2 linked regions of the Lepisosteus oculatus genome follow. The protein of the gene in region 1 interacts with the protein of each later gene in a pairwise test. Links are inferred from orthologs where the notes say so. Each region holds a gene or a part of one and is shown on either strand. Other genes may lie near its edges.

Region 1 (8,116 bases):
GCATCTGATTCAAGGCCTTTGGTGAATTCTTAACATTGTTTTCCTAACCTTTGGAACATATTCTAAATCCGCAGCAAGATTAATCCTGCAAAACACGTTAAAGTTATTCTCTCCTATCCCATTTACTAATTAACTGTCTGGTCAGTGTTCTGAAAACTTTCATTTGGTTGAACGTAGCCTGTTCGAAATTAAATACCTTGCTGTCGTTTATTCTTTCTACTTTTCAGCGTGAAATTAACCTTTATGTGATCCTCTGTTGTTGCCCACAGTGTTAAATTAGTATTTCCTAGCAGTTTTATTCATGAGTCATATCGTATTTTGTGTTGTTTTCCCTTCTCAGCTGTCTCCCTCAACTAAACACATTCCCTGGAGGTCATTATTGACGTCTGTGCCACTGTGGGCCATTGTTGTAGCTCATTTTTCCTACAACTGGACTTTCTACACTCTGCTGACCTTACTACCCACCTACATGAAAAACGTTCTAGGATTCAACATTCAAGAGGTTAGGACTTTTTGAAACAAGCCTGGGTTTTTTTTATCTTTGTCTAAAAATAACATCTGTTATCTCTATAAATTTATTGCTGTTATTTCATTAGATAATTCCAGTAGAACTAGGGCTTTTTGTTAATTATAAATTGTACACTTTGAAGATTTGATTGATAAATCCTTAATGATTAAACATTTTTTATAGTGTCAGCATGTTAATTGTAAACAAATGCTTGGTTTTTATTTATAATCTATAGTACAAATATTATTAATTTATTTTTTGCTGAATGTCAATATGTAATTAACACAATTTTTTCCCATACAGAATGGATTCTTGTCTGCTTTGCCATATTTGGGCTGTTGGATATTGGCACTTCTAGGTGGTCAGCTTGCAGATTACTTGAGAGAAACATGGATGGTTTCTACTGTAAGAGTGCGCAAGTGTTTCTCATTGATCGGTTAGTTGCACAGAAATATCGTTGTTCTTGGAGAGCTCCTGTGATTTCCAAAGCCTGTTCACCCTGATAAATACAACTTGCTATCAGCATTGCTGTGTGTGTGATATGAAGATGCTTCAGATACTTACAGTATATAGCAGATGTTTTTACCATTAATTATTTTAGAGTTGCCAATTTAACCTTCTTGCCCAATTTGGAAATGCTGGTTGCTATAATTTGGCTCAAATTGGCCAGAAGGTTAACCTTCAACCAAGCCAAATAACCATAACTTCAAATTCTCAATAAACCATTTAATATGCCTATTAATTGGCTGTTGTCATTCCCGGTGAACAGTGTGTTGGGAGTCTAGGTCACATTCAGCTAGTGACTTGATCTAGGCCTTTTTGAAGTTGGTGCACTTTGTGGCTTACTTACAGTGGACTGAAGCTGTTATATACTGTAGGTATTGCTTCGGGGGTTTTGAGTGACCCTTGATAAATGCATGCTATTAACAGTGAATTGATAACATATGTACATGAGAAGAATGTAAACAATTATTACAATTAATTAACAAAATGATTGAGCTTTTAAGATGGGTAACAATGTTGTGCTAATAACTGGGCATTTAAAGTGTTCCTTGGTCGGTCGAATTAAGTAATTTGCTTCTCCTAAATTTAAGGATCACTGACATGAGATCTTAATAAAGAAACCATTCACCAAGCATATTTTTTTTCTTTAGGAATGATTGGACCAGCTGTATTTCTGGTGTGTGCAGGGTATACAGGCTGTAATTATATCCTGGCTGTGACTTTTCTGACAATCTCCTCTGCCTTGGGTGGGATCTCTGCATCAGGCTTTAGTATAAATCACCTGGATATTGCGCCATCGTAAGCAAATTTTCCACACTCATTCTTCTTCAACGAAAAGAATTTCTTATTGAAAAAACCTTCAGTTAACCTCTGCTGCTTATGGTTTCTATCTGTTCATTTGCTCTTTAATCTAGGGTAATACTCATTTATTAAAATATTTAAAATGTATATATTTTTCCTTCTCTTATTTAACACAGAAATATAGAAAATGTATGTGTTTTTGAAGTTGTTTATAAATTTGATTATTAATTTTACTTGTGGATGTTGACACATGATGCACATGTCCTCAAAGAAAATGAACTCCCTAAAAGTCTTAATGCTACATAAATTGAAGTATTGCACAGTGCTGAGAAAAAGTTTGTGAACCCTCTAGGCTGGTCTGTATTCTTGTGTTTTTTAGTTCTAAATTATTAGTACTAATAATTCAATATCTTTATTTAAGACTTTCATGAATTTTGTATATAAATGTATCACACAAAGAAGTGATACATTTGAATTATTACATTTTCTCAGCGTTGTATAGTATATAGTCGCGATTTCCTTGTAAAAACATTTTATCTGTTTTTGTCTTATTAGTTATGCTGGGATATTACTTGGAATTACCAATACATTTGCCACTATCCCTGGAATGGTTGGACCAGTTATAGGCAGAGCCCTTACACATTCTGTAAGTCTCATGAATTGGCATAGAAGTATTTTCTTTCTCTTTTAACAGTAACAAGCCTTTACAGAACTATTTTAGTTTAATTATTTAAGATTATGTGGCAACACTCGAAATAATATTTCTACTTTCTATTAATTATTTCCAATGTTTATATAAAGCATTCAGTAAACACATTGCAATGAAAAGTGACAGATGGAAACTGGCTAAAAGAGAAGAGATTTTTTAATCTAAAAGTTATGCTTTCACAATAATCTTTGCTTCTGTGAATGCTGATATACAGTACAGTAAGACATTGTTTTGTACTTTATTGCAGAACACTATTCCAGAATGGCAGACTGTCTTCTACATCGCTGCTGCTATCAATGTGTTTGGTGCAGTATTTTTCACCTGTTTTGGTAAAGGAGTGGTCCAGGGTTGGGCAGTTCCAGATTTTCACTCACATGGCAGCTAAGCTCTCGGAAAACGAATCACTTTCTACCGAAATCAGGAGACCGCGCTGACCAATGTGATATGCTTTTTTCTGTTCTGCTCAACATCGCCAAATTATTTCATTGTCGTCTAATCTTGTTTAAACATGTTACTCAGGATTTTGTCCTTGCACCAAATTTAGTGAGACATAATTGTTAGATTTTCAAACATTTGCTGACAAAAATCAAGCCACCTTTGTGCATCAACTAAAACTAAAGATACTGAATGGCATGTTATTGTTTGATTTGTGTACATCTTTGACATTATTTTTATTAATTATGTATGTTTAATTCAGACTAGTTTCTTGAGGGGGCAGAAGAAGATTAATATTGACTGCCAGTGGCAGTTTATCATCAAGTGTAGGTTTCCTGAGCAAAATTTGTTCTTTGAAGAAAGTATTGTTTATTCTAGTGAAATTGCACAATTGCCATTTCCTTGGGTTTTATACTATTTGTGTTTTATAGCAAAATCCCAAGGTTTTTTTTTAAAACATGGTTAACGTAGTAAAGTGGGGAACTAGTGAGTTACAGTTTCCTATTTGTTGATATTTGGATTTTAAGTACTGTCAAGTATTTAGAAATTTTATTCAGTGCCTTTATTCAGTGTAACATATCTGAAAGCATGATTCTTGAATATTTGGAATATTAATGCCAGTCAGATTTGATGTCTGCAGACGAGATTTCTTTTCACACTCATGTGCTTGTCAGGGAAATTGGAATATGACCCATATTCCTAAATGCAAGATAGAAATAGGACAAATGAACACTATAAAATGCATTATTTAGAAATATTAATTAGCTACAGTAGCTGTATGAAGGTAATTTGTCAGCAGAGAAGCAATGACACTATAACTAAAAAAGTGGTTTATTTTTCAAACCAGATGTTTGGCTTGATTTTGTTTGTTTTTTTAATTCTACACATTGTTTCCTTTTTTATTTCAATTTCGTAAAAGTTACAGCTGTTATTTGTTGTGATAAGGTGATACGTTACTGCTTTAACAGCAACAAAAAGTCAAACTTTATGAAGTTTTGCTCTACTTAAAAAAGCTGACATTTAAAAAAAGAAGTGGCATAGCTTAGCCCCTTTTTTCCTAAATATTTTTAAATTATAATGTTTTTAGTACAGTAGGTTAAGAAATGTTATTGTAGTGAATTCTAAAGACCTTTCTGTACTTCTGTGAATAAGCTTTTAGTATGTAATGGGAATGTGAAGTATATCACATTGAGGCATCCTTTTTGTACAAATATTAATACTCTTAACTTTAATCACAAATAAATAAAAGCACTTTATTTGTTCAGGAACGTGTACAGTGCTGAAAGGAGTAAATCAGTTTAACATGATATTAAGTTGCAAGGGAAATAAAAAAAAACTTTGTTACGACTATAATAATTTGTATCATTAAATACAAATTACTGGTGTATTTTATTTTGTGACAAATGTTAAAACCAATGTACATGTGTGAGTATCTCTTCATCACCAGAAAAAGGATTCTTGGAATTGATCACTTTAAAATGTAAAACTCTTTCTATTCTATTATTTTTATGTGTGGTTTAGTTGTACTATTTAATAAAAGTGTTGTGTTCTCACCAAAACGCAGAGTGCTTAGCGAACTGTATGAATTTATCATAAAAATCATATAAATTTTATGGCACCTGCTGTGAAAACTTTTCATTCTGTACACAATATTTCCTGGTCAATATTGAACTTTAAAAAAAAGTTCCTGAACTGCATGTATAAATGAAAGTTTGTCATAACGAAATCAATCAGCGCTTGTTAAACACCATGGCTTGTATTTTTTTGCGTACCATGAAATTAAGGAGACTAGACGAACACTAGAGACACACCTAGCAAGGGGACTACTCACAAGTTAAACTGCACTTTCACTAAAGATATCCTCAAACCTACTCTGCATCCACCTGCTTAACATCCCTATTAGCATCCTAGCAACAGAACCGCGAATTAATAAAAAAAGAGCGGTGGTAGTCTTTTTTTTTAACGATGATGTTTGCCCTCCTAACGATTACAGTAACGCTACTCTTAAATGTTTTCTCACCGTCCCTGAAGATGCTCTGTCCTGGCTAAGAGGGGGTATTAGAAATGTCAGTCCTGACGACAATTGCTGTACCCCCTCCCGACAGAAATATAAACGGATCAGCGGCGGCGCTCGCTCTTTTCCGCAACGAGCACGCAGAAGCTGGAGGCAGGTAGGACATTCTGGAATGATAATTGCAGCATCTTTGTTTACTGGGAAAGCCTCGTCTTTTCTTTGGCGCTGGGTGGCATGCTGCGCTGGAAATGAGCCAGCTACACGGTGTATTCACGATTGCGATGCATGTGTTAAAAACGTCTGGATTTCTGAAATGGTTATTAAGTTAGAAACACACATTGCGCTAATGAATAACAGCCTTTGAGCATTGAATGAGGGGAGAATATGGCGGCGATGGGGGGGAGGAGTAATCTTCAGACATCTCAATTATGGGACTGTCGCCCTTCACAGCAGTTTATAACCTAAATTTGCAGCTTCCTAATGTTTCATTGGCTTAAGCCGTTCCGTATCGTTATGGCTGATATTTGATTTTTTTGTAGTGGTTCAGAGCATCAGATTAGAATTTCACACAAGGTGTTTTTTTAATTGCATTTGCCCGTTTTTAATATAATAAACCGATTATGCCTAAAGACATTATATATTGCATTAATATTTAAATAAATAGGCTCGAGGGGGACAGCTACGTTTTAAAACGAGGTTGCAGATTTTAAAATAAATACCACATTGAAATACATAAATATAATCCAGGCAGACGTTTGTCAGTTGCCTATTCAGCAGGATCTGGCTGTTGGAAGCATTTGAGAAATCTATCATACAAACTGATGTTTTGTTACCGATTTAAATGTTTTCTTAATTCTTAATAGAGGCGACACCAATACTCGATTATTCCCAGTTACAGGAATGAATATCCTAATTTGTTTTTTTTTTTATTGTGTTGGTGTAAGATGAGCATGTCTGCCTTATCCCTCTGTTGTGTAATGTGAGCATGTACAGTATACGTCTATAATGGCTGCTTTGTCAAGGCACTGGAGATTTCCTACAAAATGGAGGGAACATTGACATATGCACAGTGCTCATCCACCTTGTACACAAATAGAAATCCGTGGAGTGCGAAATAGAAATGACGAATAACTGCCCATCTCCGGAGAAACGCAAAGCAGCTGTCTGGGTGGAGCAGCCTGATGCAATCTTGTGCCAAGGACTTGGCTGCTGAACTTGAGTAGTATTTGCTGTTCAGAAAATGCTCAGATGCCAGAGACTGTGGTTACAAGTAAGATATTAATGCTGGCATACAGTACAATTAACATAACATCACTTTATTAGCCCTGTACATTTTCTTGTATTAGGAATTCATCTTTTCACAAACCCCAGCTTGCTCTCCATGAGACACAGACAGGGAGAGAAGTTTGGGGTCAGAGCACAGGGTCAGCCATTGTACAGCACCCCTGGAGTAGTTGGGGTTAAGGGCCTTGTTCAGGAGCCCAACAGAGTAGGATTCTTCTGCCAGCTGTGGGATTTGAACCAGCAACCTTCTGGCCACAGACGCAGATCCTTAGCCACAGAGCCACCCCTATACTATACATGTCCATAGTATTACACTATAGTATACACCATACTATACATGTCCATAGTATTCATGACACCTGTTAAAGCTGCTGTGGTTATGGTCTGTGTATAGTTGTGGGATATTTTGTGTTCAAATGTGTAACCTTATGTAAATCTTGTGTTGTAGATTCTATTGTTTAGTATCATCAAAAATTCACAATGGGAAAGGAAAAGACTCACATCAACATTGTAGTGATTGGCCATGTGGACTCTGGCAAGTCGACCACCACTGGCCATCTCATTTACAAGTGTGGTGGCATCGACAAGAGAACCATTGAGAAGTTTGAGAAGGAAGCTGCTGAGGTATGTTCACGGTTTAAGAACACCTTCCAACAGTTTTAAAAATTAGAAAGTCTGGTATGGTAGGCTTTATTCTGAACTTGCAGACCATGGGATTACTGTACTTTATCAGGCAGGTGAAGTGATATTAAGCCCAGGTAACCTTGTGCCAATAAACTAGGTTGTATTTTTAATAGTGCCGCATGGTGTTGCTGAAGCACTTGTTACATGCCTGGTTTAAATAGCTTATCGTATGCTAATTGGTTTGTAGATGGGCAAAGGCTCATTCAAGTACGCTTGGGTGTTGGACAAGCTGAAGGCTGAGCGTGAGCGGGGCATCACCATCGACATCTCCCTGTGGAAGTTTGAGACCAGCAAGTACTACGTGACCATCATTGATGCCCCCGGGCATAGGGACTTCATTAAGAACATGATCACCGGTACATCGCAGGTTTGTACAACTGTATTATCAGTAACCGCCATGACAAGTGACCAGACAACAACAACAGCTCAGATCACCTCTCTTTGTCGCCACCTCGCTTTTACAGGCAGACTGCGCTGTCCTCATTGTTGCGGCGGGGGTTGGGGAGTTCGAAGCTGGTATTTCAAAGAACGGCCAGACCCGCGAGCACGCCCTGCTGGCCTACACCCTGGGTGTCAAACAGCTGATTGTTGGCATTAACAAGATGGATTCCACTGAGCCGCCATACAGCCAGAAGAGGTACGAAGAAATTGTCAAGGAAGTCAGCACTTACATCAAGAAGATAGGTTACAACCCCGACACTGTGGCTTTTGTGCCCATCTCTGGGTGGAATGGAGACAACATGCTGGAATCGAGCCCTAATGTAAGTCAGATGGAGCTTACTTGGCTGTCTGGTGTAGCCCATCTTAGGACACATTGCTTGGAATACCCTTTGTGATTTTTGAGCACCTCTTTCTTTTCACTTAAAGATGACATGGTTCAAAGGCTGGAAGATCACCCGTAAAGATGGCAATGCTTCAGGCACTACTCTTCTAGAAGCCCTGGACGCCATCCAGCCTCCCACACGCCCAACTGATAAGCCCCTGCGGTTGCCTTTACAGGACGTCTACAAAATTGGAGGTGAGAACTGTTGGTTTCTGTGTAAAGCAAGGTGTCAAAGGGACAGAGTAGCAGTCCGTTCCTTAACCCACGTGCTCTCCGGCCTTCCCAGGCATTGGAACCGTGCCCGTGGGGCGCGTCGAAACGGGGGTCCTGAAGCCGGGGATGGTCGTGACTTTC
Region 2 (7,675 bases), on another chromosome or scaffold:
CACTTCTGACCTGGGGGGGGCAGAGAGACAGGACATTGATAAGAACACACACGAGCGTTTCTGTCGCTGTGCGGATGGGCTCCCCGATGACTCCCGTTTCGTTTCTACTTATTATTACGAAAGACGCTCAAAAGAAAGGCCACGAGGAAAGAGAAAACAGCCCAAAACAAACAGTTTACAGTTCTCAAACAGAAGCCACCTTGCAGAGAGGAAGTGTGGCGGGGACAGGGTAGGGCCAGGGCCTGGCAGAGCGCCCTCACCTTTGGCAGTGTTGATGAAGTACGGGGAGATGTACCCACGGTCGAACTTCAGACCCTCAATGATCTCCAGCTCGTCGTGCAGAGTCTTACCATCCTGAAAACACACATCCAAGAACACGGCATCAGCCGGCACACCGGACCCATCACACAGCTCACACACCTCTCTCCCAGGAAAGACCCGCGACAGGCTGCTTCCCAGATCACCAGACACGGATTCCCGGAGCACTTCTCCCAACTCGAGAGCCACAGGCTAGTGGAAAAGCAGTCACCCCCCCCCCCCCCGTCTCACTTCACCAGCTCCTTTAGAGCAACAGCAATGCAGAAGCCAGGAACACTGCTGTCGAACTACCCCGATCCGCTACTCTTCCTCTGCCTATTCCTGCAGGATTTCCAGGCTCTTTAATACATCAACTCTTACACTTCAGGGGAAGGTGAACAACTGAGCAACACGCTGTTGCTCTCCAGATCTGGATTGAGAGCATCATTCTTTCCAGTGGCCAGTGCTGTGGCCAATTCAGTTCCCACTGGACAGTTCCTAATGGACCTAATGGACATTTACTTGGATCGAACCCGGGCATGGAGCTCAGAGTGATGCCCCGCCCCACCGCCCCCTACAAAACAAGCCCCCTGCAACCCACCTTGACGGTGATGACCCCCTTGCGCCCCACTTTCTTCATGGCGTCGGAGATGATGTTGCCGATCTCGCTGTCCCCGTTGGCAGAGATGGTGGCCACCTGAAAGAAGGCCAGGAAAGAGAGAGAGAGGGCCGTCAAGCGGGGTACCCCTCCCTTTTACCCTGGGGGCAACGAGGCGCACCCCTTCCCTCACGCAAGGCCTTACCTGGGCGATCTCCTCGGGCGTGGTGACGGGCTTGGAGAGCTTCTTGAGCTCGGTGATGACCGTGTCCACGGCCAGCATGACCCCGCGCCGGATCTCCACGGGGTTGGCGCCTTTGCTGATGGTGTCGAAGCCCTCCTTGGCGATGGCGCGGGCCAGCACGGTGGCGGTGGTGGTGCCGTCGCCGGCCTCCTCGTTGGTGTTGTTGGCAACGTCCTGCACCAGCTTGGCGCCGATGTTCTTGTACTTGTCCTTCAGGTCGATGCTTTTGGCCACCGTCACCCCGTCCTTGGTGACCTTGGGGCTCCCCCAGCTCTGCTCGATGATGACCGTGCGACCCTGCACGAAGGCACAAGGCGCTCGAACCAGGACAGAATCTCAGGCCTCAGGCATCCATCTCTGCACAACATGCTTCAAACCCACAATCCATACACAAACAACCCACCGCTACACATTTCCTGCTGCACACAAACGTGTACACGCGTCACTGCCAAACAATGCGTATCACACACACACACGCACACACACCAGGTGTCCCACCCCCTCCTCCTCCTCTTCCGACCCCTCTCCTGCCAGGTGTCCCCACCCCCTGCTCCTCTCCCTGCCCCCCCCACAAGGTGTCCTACCCCCCTCCTCCCCCACCAGGTGTCCTACCCGCCCCCTCTCCTCTTGCGACCCCTCTCCTGCCAGGTGTCCCCACCCCCTGCTCCTCTCCCTGCACCCCCCACCAGGTGTCCTACCCCCCTGCTCCTCTCCCACAAGGTGTCCTACCCCCCCCTCTCCCACCAGGTGTCCTACCCGCCCCCTCTCCTCTTCCCACCCCTACCTTGGGCCCCATGGTGACGGCGACGGCGTCAGCCAGCAGGTCGACGCCCTGCAGCATGAGGGCGCGGGCGTCGGCGCCGAACTTCACGTCCTTGGCGTAGCAGCGCGTCAGGTGGGGCGCCAGCGCTCGGCACGCCGGGCGCATCCGTCTCATCACGGTGGGCAAGCGCAGCATTTCCTGCAGGGGTGCAGCAGAGACGGGCCTGAGCGGCGGACAGACGGCGATCCCGCGGATCTTGCTTTCCAAGGAGCAACAGGGGGGGGGGCGCCTTGGCCTGGACCTGTTCCGGCTCCAGACCCCAGCTGTGTACCCCGAGACGCGCACGCTCACCCCACTTCTGCCACGGCGCGGGGCTGCACTGCAAGCTCACCCTGCCCGGCCTGTCTCCATGGCAACACAGCCTGAGCAGGCGCAGGGGCCTGCTTCAGCACTAACACCCCGGACACGCAGGGCCAAGGTCGTACCTGTAAGGACACGGCCTTCCCTCGAAAACCCACCGCCGGGAGAAGGGAATCTGTGGCGATTAGACAGCTGTGTGGCGACTGCCGGATTATCAGAGCTCTTAACCGTGAAGGCACACAAGGCCAATGCACTGTAAATGCACGACCGGGGTAATAGGCTCGAAGCGGGCCGCAGATTACTCAACCACGACTCCTTGAGCGCCTCCTGCGCCAGGACAGACCCGACGCCCTCTTATTTTACTGTGTAATTACACTTTCAGCAGGTGTAATTTTAAAAGCTAGAAGTCGATGTGGGGGATAGGGCGGCTCGGAACGCAGAACTGTTCTTTATAAAGACCGTGTGGGGGGGGTCCTAACTGTTTACAGACAAGAAGCCAAAAAAAAAACAACAACAATCAAATCCACTTCAAGTAAACGCACTACAAACCACCCCTCAGTCTTGTGACAGCGCCTAATCTTTCACGGCGTCTTTTCGGCATGAAGGTCCGTCCTTCCGCCCGCGTGCGTGCGTGCGGGGGTCACGCACCACAAGGTCAAAGCCGTGGCTGCGTCGAGAGCGTGCCGGTGCGCAGCGGCGCACGCGGAGCTCGCTAGAACTGAGCTTCATCGGCGCCCCCCGCTCACGAGGACATCCCTGCTCGCGGTGGAAGCTACTATCTGGACAGCGCAAGACGTAGCAGAGCTTACGACTAATCACTATCCAGTGATGTGTTTTTAAGTTGACTGTCTTAATGAGAAGAGTACAATAACCTCCTTAACAAAGCGCAATCTTTGAAAACGTTAATTCCAACATAAAACCCCCCGACTTCTCCGAATACATGCAGTTCATTATCCTTCTAGCAGTAGAGACGTAGCCGTCTCTGACTGGGATGGCGAGGTTCAGTCAGACGCTGACGAGAACAGACTGGAGCTCTCACAGCACTACACGGTTCCGCAGAACCGCTCGGCTCGCCCGTTTCACGCGGCAGGCGCTTAACGCCGTGCTGGGCGATATTCGAGATGTGCAGCGCAGCAGCGGGCAGACAGCAGAATCTCTCCCCCCTCCACAGCGTCCGTTACAGATGCAAGCGCTCATCATTCATGTCCAGTCCAGCCGGAAAACTACAGAAGGACAAACGAGCCACCCCCAATCCCTCACCTCGGGGTGTAAAGTGGAAAACACAAATAGGCACAGAAAAGCGGACGAGTTACACCCGAAGCGGCCAAGGGCAGGCCCACACGAAATGAGGAGGTTCACGGCCACAGCCGAGCGAACCACCGCTGCAGACACGCGAGCAGGCACGCACGCACGCCCGCCCGCCGCCTTCAGTCGGCTCGAACCGAGCTGTAGCGCTCCGCTCCGTCACGGCAGAGACTGAACAGGCTCCCCAGGAGCGGCGTGCGGAACCGTGCTCCAGCGGCGAGCGAGCGAGGAAGGGGAGCCCGGGTACTTACTGTCGGGGTGGATGGGATGAGGTCAGGAGGGAACAGACGACCGCCGCGCAGTGGGCTCTGTCAGAAGAAGTAAGACGGCGAGCTGCGCTGCTGCCTAAAAGCGCCTCCTCTCCGGCCTCTGAGCGGCGCACATGGGCATCTCCATCCGGGTAACGCTGGGGGCCGCCCCGAAACCTGTATAACTGCACACACTCGCCCCGCTGGGGGGGGGCGCGCAAGACTGTGGCGGTGAAGACCCCCCCACACACACACACCTCATTGGGGCCCGCCCGTCGCGTTACACGGCTCCGGGAACGTAACTTTAAACGCAGGTGGGATAGAGCGCGCCAGGGGGGGGAACCTCCATGCTCGTTCCGGGGCAGGCGATTTCCAGAAACTTCTCGGACGCCATTGGAGGAGGAAAAAAAGTTCGAGGGGTCGAAGGTGAATGTTGTGTAATTTTGATGCAATGGCGGGGGGGGCGGAGATGCACGCTCTGCTGCCAAATGCATCGCTTTGAAACACATTGCACCCGTGTATGAAGCAGTAATTCCGCTGTATGCACTCACAGGAGGCGGGGGCGGCTGTCGGTTTGCGCGCTGGCTGCAGGGCGCGCGGGGGATCGTGTCGGGAAGGTTCCAGAAGGCTCTGGAACCCGGGACAGGGGGAGGAACCGGCTCGGGGGGGGCGCGCATGCGCTGTCGGGCGCCCGTATTTCTTCACGTGGGGCGGCGATTCTGGTGTGTGAGAGAAAGCCAAGTCTCACGCGTGGAGAAGCCCCGAGCGCAGGACACAGGAGGGTCGCGGTGGAACCACGCTGCTGTGTGTAGAAACGTTCATAGAGACACGTCGGCATGGTAAGACTCTCTGCTCCGTACGCAGGCCGTGCCGTAGGGCGGCCTGCAATGGAGCAATTTTAAAATGTCTGGATATCCAGATCAGAAGCTCCGATGCGCCTTCTCTAGTACTTTCTACTCCGTGTAAGCTGAGCAGCACGCTGGTGAGCGCGCTGTAAAAGCAGGTCCCTTGGACACTTGGTATAAAGCGGGCTCTCACTGGGCGCAGAGGTGGGGATACTGCTCCATACTGACGATAGGATCGGCGCGGTCGCAGGTTTTTAACACCTGCAGCCGCACGGACTGGGCCGGCGGGCGGGCGGGCGGGGGACTCCGGCGACACCGGAGACGGAATTCGGGCTTTACCGAACCGACAGAGACCCGGGGGTCAAGGTCGGGGCCCTCAGACCGGTGCTAGTGAGCAACCCGGCGGGCTGTCTTGCCTTTGGCATTAACGTTTTCCTTTTGGATTATTTTCCGTGTTCCTTCCTAGGTGACCTGACAGAATCCGGCCTTTAAAGTCCGCCCTCTGCTTCCTCGGCGGAGGCGTTTAGTTGTTACGTCCCTGTAAAACGCATGCATGTGTGAACCCCGTAGACCATCGACAGACGTCTAAATAGAAGTGTTGCTCTCAAAGATGGCTTTAAGAACACAATTTTTAAAAAAGGGAACTTAATTTTGTGAATAAATACGTTTTTTTTTGTTCATTCTTTGTAAATGCGTGTGTTTAAAAGTCTTCTTGATAGCTGCCGTACGTGTGTCAGCCGGCTCGGCACGCGTGCCCTTGTAATCACGCAAGTTGCTACACGGAAGAACAAACTGTGGCTCCGGTTTATCTTCAATCACATCCGGGGCAGATATGAAACGTGAACTCGGCGTTTTGGAGGTCCCGCTCGTCTCGGAAGTGACCTCCTTGCTCTTTCCGAGATAGTCGCACATCTAGGCCTTTAATTGAAGCCTTCCCAGTCTCCAGTAGTTACAGGGAGTTACGATGATCTCTTCAATCAAGTAATTAGTTAACCAGATGTGCTCTCACGCAGCACAGAAAGTCTGAGGCTGGGCTAAGTCTTAACACCCCCGGAGAGGGGCAGAACTTTCTGGGTGGACATTTTTAAAACCTGTGATTTTTACTAAAACACGACTTGCCAGTTCCAGTGGTGCAATTTGCATCTGAAGGTGCATGTCGCCTTGGTGACCCCATTGCACTTCTGGGATGAGGTGCTAGTGTGCAGGAGAGGAGGGGGAGGCCCGTGTCTCTGGCAGGATCAATGTTCCCTGCCCTGTGCTCTGCTGACGGCAATCATTAACGATGCTTCCTGTCTGGCTGCCTTGACCACGCGTTGGGAATTAATTCCCTACAGAGCTCACAGGCTGTTGGCAGACGGGGCGCCCCTCCCCCCTGCTCCGCTGTTGTCCGTGCCCTTGAAGTGACCTTGATCCAAGGTCGCGCGCACAGCCCTCCTCCTCCTCCTCCTCCTCCGCGCGGGCCAGGGACAGGACCTCGTGGATCCCTGATCACACGCCGCTTTATCTGTCTGAGCTGCGAGACCTCGGGCGCTCTGCGACATTCCTCAGCCGGCTCCTTCCCCTGTCTTTGCTCCCGAATTCCTCGGCTCCTTCTGCCGACTCATCGCGAGTGACAAAGCTGTTGTTGTCGCGGGTCTCGGCACCCGTGATGCCCAGATCGTGGTTTCATCCTCGTTTTTAACCTGTTGTTCACACCTCTGCGTCGGCACCTTCGGAGGAGTAGCTGAGCAACTCGATGTTTCTGCTCCTCCTCCTGGGCATCTCTCTGCTTCGCCACCCAGATGTACCGCTCGCAGTGAAGTAAAGGCGTGAACACGTGCAGGACTTCCCTCCATGCCCTGGGCCTCTGGGGGAGAGGGAGTGTGCTCTGCCCCCTGGTGGCAGGACAGCAGGACTTCCGCCCTTGGGGTCAGAGTGGCCTGCGCTCGTTGCTTTCCCACTCGGGACGAGGATGCTCTCTCTCCTGCCTCTCTTCTCTCTCGGAGTCGCAGGGCATCAGTGGTGTGACCAGTGAATTAGTGTTGCCAAACCAGATACAATTAACATACCATTTGCAGACATTAATTATTGGACATTTGCATTAAACATATAAAACTTTATTGAGAGACAGGCTCACTGTCTGTTCCTCAGGCTGGGACAGGAGATCACACACTATTTATTATTATTATTATTATTATTATTATTATTATTGAGAGACGGGCTCACTGTCTGTTCCTCAGGCTGGAACTGGAGATCACACACTGTATAATTATTTTTATTATTATTATTAATACAGTGAGTGATCTGAGTGATCTGTCCAAGCCTGAGGAACAGACAGTGAGCCTGTCTCTCAATAATAATAATAATAATAATAATAATATTGAGAGACAGTGTCTGCTCCTCAGGCTGGGACAGGAGATCACACACTGTATTATTATTATTATTATTATTATTATTATTATTATTATTGAGAGACAGGCTCAATGTCATCAGATCACACACTGTGTTGCAGCTCTCTTGAGTTTCTTCCCTTTTCTGATTCCTGTGGGAGTGGGAATTCTGCGATTGGATGTGTTATTTCTGGGAATGGCGCTAGTCTCATCTCTCCCCCCCTCTCTCTCGGACCCTCAGGCGTTCAGGAAGTTCCTCCCGATGTTTGACCGCGTGCTGGTGGAGCGCTTGGCCGCGGAGACCGTCTCCAAGGGCGGGATCATGCTGCCCGAGAAGTCGCAGGGGAAGGTGCTGCAGGCCACCGTGGTGGCGGTGGGGCCCGGGAGTGTCAACAAGGTGATTTCGGGGGTCCTGCTGGGGCGGTCCCGGTCCGCACGCATGAAAGTAGCGCTGCTTCGCTTCAGAAGGATAAACTGCTTTTTTTAAAAAAAATGTCAAAAGAAAAAGACTGAGGAAAAATGACATAGTGGATGACCTTTTAATCAAATTGTTAGGTATTTTGTGTTTACAACCAGTTGAGTAAACTCACATTTTTTTAAGCGTGTTTTTTTATGTACATTCCTAATTCCCATTAGGCACTTGTCT

What was found. The genes of interacting proteins can lie anywhere in the genome.
Region 2: the proteins of eef1a1a (region 1) and hspe1 interact in a two-hybrid assay, tested with the Homo sapiens proteins (2 studies listed by BioGRID and IntAct, with this or other methods). The link is inferred for Lepisosteus oculatus from reciprocal best matches to the Homo sapiens genes EEF1A1 and HSPE1.

The regions. Positions count from the first base shown.
Region 1 is NC_090712.1:11,006,618-11,014,733, forward strand, and holds the start of eef1a1a (elongation factor 1-alpha 1a), read left to right. Parts: upstream 1-5,042; 5' UTR 5,043-5,128; intron 5,129-6,703; 5' UTR 6,704-6,735; coding exon 6,736-6,879; intron 6,880-7,126; coding exon 7,127-7,306; intron 7,307-7,403; coding exon 7,404-7,700; intron 7,701-7,806; coding exon 7,807-7,957; intron 7,958-8,048; coding exon 8,049-8,116. Other genes in the region: slc17a5 (sialin), read left to right, coding at 341-502, 812-944, 1,663-1,810, 2,369-2,459, 2,770-2,907. UniProt on the Homo sapiens protein: Translation elongation factor that catalyzes the GTP-dependent binding of aminoacyl-tRNA (aa-tRNA) to the A-site of ribosomes during the elongation phase of protein synthesis.
Region 2 is NC_090707.1:7,077,137-7,084,811, forward strand, and holds the start of hspe1 (10 kDa heat shock protein, mitochondrial), read left to right. Parts: upstream 1-4,474; 5' UTR 4,475-4,651; coding exon 4,652-4,654; intron 4,655-7,270; coding exon 7,271-7,426; intron 7,427-7,675. Other genes in the region: hspd1 (60 kDa heat shock protein, mitochondrial), read right to left, coding at 1-10, 261-354, 899-994, 1,101-1,436, 1,924-2,097. UniProt on the Homo sapiens protein: Co-chaperonin implicated in mitochondrial protein import and macromolecular assembly. Together with Hsp60, facilitates the correct folding of imported proteins.